Linked DNA regions of Caenorhabditis elegans. The protein of the gene in region 1 interacts with the protein of each later gene in a pairwise test. Each region holds a gene or a part of one and is shown on either strand. Other genes may lie near its edges. The genes, in order: mdf-1 and npp-5.

What was found.
Region 2: the proteins of mdf-1 (region 1) and npp-5 interact in a two-hybrid assay, tested with the Caenorhabditis elegans proteins (one study listed by BioGRID).

What each region holds. Positions count from the first base shown.
Region 1 is NC_003283.11:9,541,201-9,546,168, forward strand, and holds mdf-1 (uncharacterized protein), read right to left. Parts: upstream 3,027-4,968; 5' UTR 3,025-3,026; coding exon 2,820-3,024; intron 2,770-2,819; coding exon 2,209-2,769; intron 2,154-2,208; coding exon 1,885-2,153; intron 1,836-1,884; coding exon 961-1,835; intron 875-960; coding exon 745-874; 3' UTR 582-744; downstream 1-581. Other genes in the region: C50F4.16 (Uridine diphosphate glucose pyrophosphatase NUDT14), read right to left, coding at 1-162, 211-406; his-35 (Histone H2A), read right to left, coding at 3,568-3,801, 3,934-4,083; his-41 (putative histone H2B 3), read left to right, coding at 4,379-4,513, 4,728-4,964.
Region 2 is NC_003280.10:11,596,179-11,601,733, reverse strand, and holds npp-5 (Nuclear pore complex protein 5), read left to right. Parts: upstream 1-1,924; 5' UTR 1,925-1,928; coding exon 1,929-2,034; intron 2,035-2,090; coding exon 2,091-2,203; intron 2,204-2,251; coding exon 2,252-2,458; intron 2,459-2,510; coding exon 2,511-3,534; intron 3,535-3,580; coding exon 3,581-4,029; intron 4,030-4,210; coding exon 4,211-4,456; intron 4,457-4,512; coding exon 4,513-4,809; 3' UTR 4,810-4,967; downstream 4,968-5,555. UniProt on the Caenorhabditis elegans protein: Involved in kinetochore assembly and chromosome segregation during embryonic mitosis.

The DNA.
Region 1 (4,968 bases):
CTTCTGATGCAATTTCTCTAGGAGATAATCCTTCCTTGTCAATTAGTCCAGCACAAAGTTCAATGGTGTAGCCAGTTTCAGAATCATAGCTGCTCCAGTCAATTTTATCAAATTCTTTACCGTGATTCTCCGGCGAATTTGAAATTGATGCGGTGAAGATTGCTAAAAAACAACTTAACGCTCACATTTCAATAGAATAAAATTGGAAACCTGGTCGAAATTGACGAACTAGAAGAAATTGCTCTAAATCTCTATGAAATAGAAGAATGGATACACTGCTCATTTTTTGATTGAATTCACTAACACGTGAATTTCCATCCAATGTGTAAGACATCTCCATTCCTTTCTGATATTTTGATACAAAATCAGTCACAAAAGAGACATCACTAATTTTTGACGCTGTCATCTGAAAATATATTTTCTTATATCATTTAATTGCGGTATCATTCAAACTCGTTTTAGAAAAATACAGGATGTTCAAAAACCAATTTTCCTATTTTCATAATGGTATTTCTCCTATATACGAGCAGATAAACTTTAGATTGTACGAAACAATATACCATAGTAAACATTGAATTGGAAAGAAAATATAACGTTCATTGTGTGATTAATTTTGATCACTACACGTTTTAGATTAAAAAATAAATAAATAAAATGGAATGAAACATCAAATATTCAGGTAACAGTGTATTTAACAGCTTCTCCTTTGAAGAAAAATAATTGAGATCTAGATAGCTCAATGATTTAGTCCTCGTGTAAGACACTGAATGTATGTGTTCTCTCATGCATCGTCTCGTCAAAATCTCGATCCTGTTCCAGCTGAAGAGTCATTGCTGCTAAGAAAGCCGGAATCGAATTTCGGTCGCCAATGTACCTGAAAAAACATATTTTAAGAAGATGCCTCACAACAACGGGGAGTATTTATACTTCTAATAGTAAGTAACCAGAAAATTAACAAACTTTTTCATAAGTGGCTCCCACTTTCGAAGCATTTCAGTAGTTGATTCACAGCTGACATCAAGCATATCGATGCGAGGAGTTCCATAGAAATACTTAAACACGAACTGCTGAGCGGAACCACCTTCATATTCGCTTTGTACAGTGCATATTCCTTCGTCTGCATCTTTCAGTTTGATTTGGAGACCGGTCAGAGCAATACAAACTTGCCGGAACTTCGACGAGAGTTCCTTATGAAGATTGTAACTACTTTCGAGTACTTTTTTCTCACTTTCGCAGTCGTAAAGACGCTTCTCCAATTCAGCAAACTCTTGCTCTCTCCATTGATCACCAGCTGGAGCATCTGTCAACTTTCTTTTCCTACTTTCAGACGCTTGGAATTCATTGTGAGCATCTTGGAGTGGATTAGAAGCCATATGGAAAATCTGTGTACTATTTCCGGCATCGGTTGGAGCAGGTAAAGATGCCGGTTCTGAAGCTGGGACAGTTAAAGTCATGCTGAGAACTTCATCGAGCTGAGATTGAGATTCTTCCAACTGTTTCTTGACCTTCTCCAATTCATTGTTGCTCAACTCTAACTGTTCAGAGAGCCGGCTTTTCTCATTTTCAAGGTCTTGGCTTCTGACTCTCTCGCTCGAAAAAGCATCCTCAAGTCGTTCGTTGCGACGAGCACAGTCTGTGCTTTCTCGCATAACTTTCGTCATTCTGGAAGTAGCTGCTTCAAAATCTTTTTCGAGCTGATTGTTCTTCGTAATGAGCTGAGTGATTCTGTCAATGAGCTGCAGTTGCTTAGCGGAATTGTCTGAACTCGAAGGAATTTTCTCGTCTATATTGAACAAGTTCCCTGCTTGGCCAATCCGAATAGCTTCAATCTCACTCTAAAATAAATTAAACGTGAAATTAGTTTAACAATAATTATTCACTCACAAATGTGCTGTCCAACTGCTTATGGAGAGCTTTCTTCTCAAACTCTAAAGTACGATTACGTTCTTCGAAAATCATCGACCTTTCAGCACGCCCACTCGAGACATTCAAACGATCTTTGAGAACACTGTTTTCCAGTAGTAATCGCTGAATTTTCTCATCTTTCTCGTAATCAATAAGTGATCGATTGGCAATGCAGCCATCAGTCATCATTGTTTGATCTTCTGGCATTATGGTGTTATTTGAATCCTCGAGAAGTGTGAAATTGGATTCTGAAAATACGAATATATTTGCCTGCAAACAAAAGTTTGAAAATTCCGGACTTACGAGGTAGAGTAAAGTTAGCAGCCGATTGATCAGCACGAGCGATTTCTCTTTCCGTTTCAGGAGATGGTGGTCTACGGGTAGCAAATGAAACACCTTCATATTCTAGCAGACTTCCTGAACCAAGTTCTTCTACTGTTTCATCATCATAATCGAATTGTTCAAGAGCCCTGTACATCTGTCTTGGAACTGCATTCAATCGTGTAACTTCTTCGTCGTTTTCAAACTTTCCGTCGTTGTCTATGTACAATTTCACAGATTCCAGCTGAGTATTCGCCATTGAGTACCAAGTGTAGTATTTTTTGCCGAATGCTGTCCAAATATCAACGTTTCGATTACACTCTGCGATGGTGTCATCTCGTTCTTGCTTCAGAAGTTCGACTTGCTCTTGCAGCTCCAACATTTTCTCACGATTCGTCTCCAGATCAATGGTTTTTTCAGCCAACTTCGCTTGATTCGTTTGCATCATTTGTTTCATACGTTCGTGATCTTCACGGAGTGTTACCAATTGACGCTGTGCCGACTCTTTTTCTTTTTTTGCACTTGCCAATTCGATTGGAGCCACTAAATAAAATATTTTAAACATTTTTAATAAATGGATTAAGTTAATTTACCAGGTGAGAGTGTCATATCGAAATTGATTTTTCTGGCCTCCACCGGCGCATGTCGACGAAATGTTGCCTGCTTCAGCTTTTTTTCTGTCTCTGCTTTCAACGGAAACTCTCTTTTGAACTGTTTTTTGATTTCTTCAGCGAACAACATTGTAGCTTCCGACTCTTCATATTCGTCTTCATCGACAATGTCTTCATCGTAATTCATGTCTGAAAAAAATCAGTTACATAATGTATTACAGTGAGCGATTCGAATTTTGAGATAGAGATTAATAATATGTTTAATGCAATCAAGGGAAGTCAAACAAATCCATTCGCACAAAAACAGTTTATCGAATGTCACCAAACAAACTGCGAAGAAATCTTAAAAATAACGTCTTCCCGCCCACTTGCAAGGGCGCGGCATTATGCAATGCTGCCGCACACTTTTCCCAGCAATTCTTCAGCCTCATTTTTTATTATTATTTGGTCATTCGGAAACATGTTCGGACACAAGAACATGCAAAAATAGGAAAATATGATCTTGCGAATAGTTTTTTTTTCAAAAATCCGAATTTTGGGAAGTTTCTTACCTGGAAAAATTGTATTTAAAACAAATTCTTATTTTCATTTTAAAAAATAATTTACTGATAACTGCAAAGTATATGAATTTATTTCATTTACAATTCAGCCGAGTAAACAATACATTCAGATGACATATAAATTAACGGGGCGGAGTATCTTTAGTTGCAATATTCATCTGTGACACTGCTTATTCTTTGTCTCCTGCAGTCTTCTTTGGGAGAAGCACGGCTTGGATGTTTGGAAGAACTCCTCCTTGGGCGATGGTGACTCCAGCCAACAGTTTGTTCAATTCCTCGTCATTACGGACAGCGAGTTGGAGATGTCTTGGTGCAATACGGGTTTTCTTGTTGTCACGGGCAGCGTTTCCAGCCAACTCGAGAACTTCGGCGGCGAGGTACTCCAGAACTGCTGCGAGGTACACCTGGAACATTATGTTTTTAAAAAGTACAAGAGCAAAAGTGATATAATTTGGAAAATGCTAGCAAGTTCAGGTTTGAACGATTTTTTAATCTAGGAAATGCACAAAACACAGCAGCTCTAAAATTCTACATACCGGTGCTCCTGCTCCAACACGTTGTGCGTAGTTTCCTTTACGGAGAATACGATGAAGACGACCAACTGGGAATTGAAGTCCAGCTCTCGACGAACGGGACTTGGCCTTTCCACCGGTCTTAGCTTTTCCTCCCTTTCCACGTCCGGACATCTTTGCTGAAATTAGGTTGAATAACAATGAACTAGAAGTCTAGATGAGCAAATTGGAGGTGAAAGAGAAACAGAAAAGTGGTCTAAGCCGACGAAAATCGATGCAAAATACGCATGCGCACACGCGCCCGCCTCTCTATTTAACTATTTCTCTCGGTGTGGGCGGAGTCTAGTTCCGCGGCAGCGAGAGGTGGGGCCACCGCTGGCGAGTATAAAAGCGCTTCGCAGCGCTCATAGACAACACTCGCCAAACACATCGATTCGTTTCGCATTTTCGTTTCGTGTCTCATTCGATCATGGCCCCACCAAAACCATCAGCTAAAGGAGCCAAAAAGGCTGCTAAGACCGTCAGCAAGCCAAAAGACGGAAAGAAAAGAAAGCATGCTCGTAAGGAATCCTACTCGGTCTACATCTACCGTGTTTTAAAGCAGGTGAGAATATATTCAAATCGAATAAGTTATGATAAAAAAATGTTTTAGCCATTAGCATGTTGTATGTTAAAACTACGTACCACTTAGTACGAACTGCAACGATATAATACCGGTATTTAAAAATCATTTAAATTAGTCTTGGGGGATCATAGAAATCAAAATAATATTAAGTAGTTATTCTGTCAAATCAAAAATATTATTAAATAATTTGCAGGTTCACCCAGACACCGGTGTGTCATCCAAGGCTATGTCGATCATGAATTCGTTTGTCAACGATGTCTTCGAGAGAATTGCTTCGGAAGCATCTCGTCTGGCCCACTACAACAAGAGATCCACCATCTCTTCTCGCGAAATCCAAACCGCTGTCCGTCTCATTCTTCCTGGAGAACTTGCAAAGCATGCTGTTTCAGAAGGAACCAAGGCTGTCACCAAGTACACTTCCAGTAAATAATTTA
Region 2 (5,555 bases), on another chromosome or scaffold:
TAATCGACTTTTTGAAGTTGTTCGATACCAAATTTAAAATAAATTTATTTTTAAAAAAATTGAAATAAAATAATAGAAACACATACATATAAAACATCGATGAAAATTCTACAGCAGCGACAGTTTGAAATTACATTAATTACAGTGTACTATTTAAACGCGCACACCACTTTACTAACTTTCAGAAATTTGTCGTGTCGAGACCAGATACCTTAATTTTGGCTCAAAAGTTCGCGTCTGGAACAATAGTTCTCTGAAAAAATATATGTAAAGCCAAATGGTACAAATTGAGATTTTTCTGTAAAGTTTACTTTCAATGGAAAGCCTAAAACTAATTGATTTTTAATTGGCATACTATTAGAAATTTGTAAAAATTTTCATTAATTTAAATCTGAACGTTTATCAGCGGCTTTAAACATTTTGAAAATATGCATTAATTTTTTAATAAACGCAAAAAGTTGAAAATATCTGCGTATTTTTTGTTGTAATTCAACATGATGTTCGAAATTCAATACATCTTTTTTTTCTTCTTTCTTATGCTCCTCCTCTCCCACACTATCAAGTTTCGGGGGTCTTCTCTCTCGTTTTTTTTGCAGAACTTGTTCCAAACTCACCTTTTACCATTGCATTTTGTGTTGTCTTTTAACTGAAGTCGGCAGAAAAAAATCCGGTGATCGATTTTGGGAATAGGTGGCGACGATTTTGAAAAGCAGGTATTTAGCGATGAAAATACTCGAAATTAATTTTAACAAATATGATTGATAAACTAAAGATATGAAGCTACTAAATATGGCTCGGTGAGCTGGAAATAGTGGGTGAAGGAGTGGAGAGGCAGAAACAAAGAGAGACGAAAAAGAAGAGGTGCACTACGGCTCCCATGCAAAACTAGCATCTTTTCGTTTTTTTTTTTTGGTTTTCTTGTCGGTTGGTGTAATTGATGTGATGGATTACACTTGAGAAGCCCAAGGAAGGAAGTACCAAAAAAGGGCAAACATTTTTTTACAAGGAATCTTTTTTTTGGTCTATAGTCCCCTTATAAGGACTTTTTAGAGGAGGAGGTGTAGGTTTCTTCCCTAGAAACAGAAAGCAGTCCAACATATTGAATATAACTTTTTAAATAATTTATAGAATTCTCCTGAATTTTTAAAAAAATAACTTTTTCAATTGTTCGAACATAACAAAAATGGACAGGCCGCCAAAGTCCTAGGAGATTGATTGCACAAAGCCGCAAGCTTTTCGTACGAAATAGTGCTCCAGAAATGGTTCCATTCTAGTTATTAAATCAAAACTTTGGTCTATTGTCCTCTCCATATGTTTTTCTCTAATTTGAGTATACAATATACCCTGTTTTGTGTGCATTGAGCCTGTGCATAAGACGAACGATACGAACGGCCCCTCTCCTCCTTACATTCTTATACACAGTCTCAATTCACACAAAACATGTGGTTCAAAGAATATATCCTTATGTAAGTAGCAAACGCAAGCGTAGGAGCACGTATTGATCGATTTATAGACAGTCACAATGCACACAAAACAGATGATTTAGAGGATAGCTGCTACTGGAACGCAAAAATACGATGTGCTTTAAAATAAGAGCTCTCATCAACCCATAACGTCGGCTCTCATTTTTGTTTTTTATAGCTGATTGCACCTTATTAAACAATTTGAAGATGAAAGGCACTACTCGGAAAAGTTTCAAATTGCAATTTCTTCCATTTCTGTGTTTCAAAAAAGTTATGAAAACCTGAATAAACCCCTCTTTTTTGAAAGTCCGCGCATTGTGTTCTCAATGGAGCGCACTACCATTATTTTCGTTTAAGCAAAAATTTTCAAATTTCGAAGGGTTTTCGTCGTGTAAAACGATTTTTTTTTCTGTTTCATGTAGTTTTTAAAACTTTATTTTCCTTTAAAAAAATATTTTTAGCACAATGACAGACTTGTTCGCTTCGGGGGACAATTCTTCCAACTCCTTCGACGACTCTAACGATGAAATCGCGCGCAAAAATGAAACCGCTTTCAAATACACTACAATTTGTGAGTTTAACACTCGATGCGAAAGGAAAACTATTTTAAAAATATATAATTTGCAGTTCACACAAATCTCTCAGAAAAACTGTACCACGAATTATGTGCATTGGCTTTCGGAGAGTTCGATATTCCTCAAGGGCAAATCTCGCCACTTATGTGGACCAGACTTCATGAGGTTTGATTCACTTGAAAAAGGCCTCTGATAAATGTAATATTTTTTCAGATCTATTCAGAAGTAGAAATGCAGACTCGAAAACTTCCTGCAGGATCTAATTATTCCGCCAGTTCACAAAAATACGCGAATGAAGCCGTGCAAATCGCCAGTGTTCTTTCAATTTATACCGCGTTGGCTCATGAATATGATGAGACTGTGGAAGTTTCTTTGCTTAGCAAACTAGTTGTAGAAGATGTGGAGTTTAGAAGGATTTATGTAAGATCTTAGACTTTTTATTCAATTAAACACATAATTTCTAATTTTTTAGGCTCTTCTTCTTTGGAGTGAGAAAGCGATCAGCGAACAGCAATATGAAAAAGGTCTTGGAGACAAAGTTCGGAAACTCGAAGGAATCAAATCTTCTAGAATCAATTCAATGATGGCTTTGAAACGACCAACATTTGGAGCAGCCAATGCTCCAAAAGATGCTTCACTGGATCCAGATGCTCCTGGTACCAAAGAAGATCAAGCTCTCGAGCAAATGGCGATGAACGTTTTCTTCCAATTAATTCGAAGTGGAGAAACTTCCAAAGCTGCGAATTTAGCCATTGATCTAGGAATGGGAGCGATCGGAGCTCAACTTCAGCTTCACTCGATGCTCCGGAACCCACTTGATATTCCACTAGAGGCATCTAAACAGAACTTTGGGGAATATAAAAGATCTCGACGCGCAAAGTACTACCAGATGACACAGAAATTGATAGAACAATCGCAGGGGAGCGAAGATGATGCTTACTGGATGCTGATTTCTGCGATTCGTGGGAATATCCAACCAATGCTAAAAGCTGGAAAGTCAGTGATTGAAAAAGTATGGGCATATGCAAATTCTGCAGTTCTCGCAAGAATTCTTGCCGCCGAGGGAGCCATGACACAGGAAACTATTTCGACGTTGTTCAACGTTCCACTAACTTCAAAATCAATCTTAGATGAGCTGAGATCAGAGGCTGATCGTACCAAAGAAGTATACATCCTACTCCGAGTGATCGATGACATGCTCAATGATGACATTGAAGATCTGTACAAGTTCGCAAATGAAACAGTCGGAGAATTTGTTCCAAATGATAAAAATTGTCAAGTGAACATGCTCGCACTCGACATCTTCTTCCACCTCGTCGCAGTTTCTTATGCGAGTGGTTTCGAACCAAATGACGATGGAAATGCTGTAATTATTCTTGGATTCGATGATCTTCGTGCACGCAGTGGAACCTCATCACACAAGAAAATGGCTGCATTTTATTCAAGATTCCTCCCAGAAGATATGAAGCTTCCAGAGATTGTGGAGACTATGAAAGGTAATTTAAAAACTGATGATGATTTTTAAAAAAATTCTCTTTTCAGCTGTCGATTCTGATGAAGAACGTGAAATCCTGGCTGAGTCGCTGAAACAATCTGACATTGATTTCGGACGCTGTGCGTGCACACTTATTGAGCAAATCAGAAAAGATGACAAAACGAAGGTTGTAACTTTGGAAGAGCAGATTGATCACTGGCATTGGCTTTTGATAGGTGGAGAAGAGACTGCACTGGCTGCTCTTGAAGAATGTAATCGACTAGTTCGTAAAGTGATGCTGTCGACACCGATTGACGAGTCTGTAATTAGGCAAATTATTCGAAAAGCGCTTCATTTCGAAGTTCCTAAGCTATTGTCACAAGCTGTTGAAAATGAAGCAACTGTACTTTCACTGATCACTGATGGAACCCTGTTTGAGCAAAAACCTGGATCGCAGCTGGCAATTAATAAAATCGAACACGCGGCTCTGGAATTTTATGGGCTCTGCTCTTTCGTGGTATGATTTCTTATCCAAATCAGCGGAATCTTTAACCACTGGTTAAAATTACAGTAATCTTTAAAGGTGCAAACCGTCTCGTATTGAACAAAAATTTGTCGTGTCGAGACCCCGTACTCAAAATTTCGCTGCTGAATAATATTCAATTTCATATTGGCCATTTTAAAATCCGAATTTTCAGGATGTGAACAACTTCATGATCACTATTGCTCTGAAACTTGGGCTCATGTTCAAGTACACACCGATCACTGATGATGAGCTTTCCATGATCGGAGGAGTCAAACGACTCGACAACACCACAGCTGCTGACTGGGAAGCTTCACTGAGAGTCCGAGCTCGTGCTGAGCAAACTCTGCGGGAAGAGGTGCTCAAAAAGAGAGCCGCCGAGCATAATACGCGAGTTGGAATGGTTCAACAACATTTAGATGTAGGATTTTTAGAATAAATTGTTGTGAAAAAAATTTTAAAAAATTGAAATTTCAGACTGTTCTTCCGATGCTCCGTGGGCTGGTTAACAATATTGGTGTGCGCCCGGAGTACTTTTTGAGCCCACGTGCTAATGGAGATCCAATGCGTGTACACCGGAAAGAAATTCAGGAGATTCGGAATCTCTTCCTCCCGCAATTCTTCATCCTTCTTGCACAAGCCGCCGTGAGACTCGACGATACCACAAATTTCAACGATTTCTTCACAAGCTTCAATAATGACCTCGGGCTCGATCAGGAATGGATGGTTTTCATCAAAGCTTTCTACGCAGAACTCAATCTCAAAGTCGAATAATTTTTATTTCATTGTTTTTTTGTTTGATACCTGTTTTGATTACCATTTTTTATCACTATATTTCTGACTTCTTTCTCATTTTTTTTAAATTTCCGGTCGATCTTTCACAGACACGATTGTATCCGTGCAGTATTTGAAAATAACAAATTTTTCTGATTTCTGTGGGTTTCACGTGAAGATCTTCTTCAAGAAGAGGTCATCAGATTGCGGAAGATCTATATTACCGATCTGACGCAAGACTACCATGTATATTTGGAAAGGAAAAATTTTCTGTGCAGAGGTTGATGGTTTAAATTTTGATTTAGATATTTTCTTCATTTAATTTGAAAATTTCCATGCCTGAAAATATCCTCAGTGAGGATTCTCACCTACCGTATACTTAAAGGCGCACACCTGTCTCAACCGGAGCGTTGCGAGACCCGCGGCATCAAACTACACACTGTGTTTTGATGATCTTTCGATCGTTCTCGAAAAAAGAAAGAGCAGAGTTCATTAAAACAAATGGCGGCAAAATGTCTATAAAGGCGAGTCGTTCTCTTCATTATCTTTTGATTTTCGATGTGTTCTCCTTATTGTTTTGTTCGTTGACCCCTTATCTGCATTCTCACCGCTACGCAACGTATATTTAACGTCAGCTTTTTCGCAGAAAATTTTTCTATATTCTCATGCAAATTTACTGTTCTCAATGCTGGACGTGTCGCTTGTGCTTTGATCTCAAATCTAACATTTTCCCTTCAAATATTTTA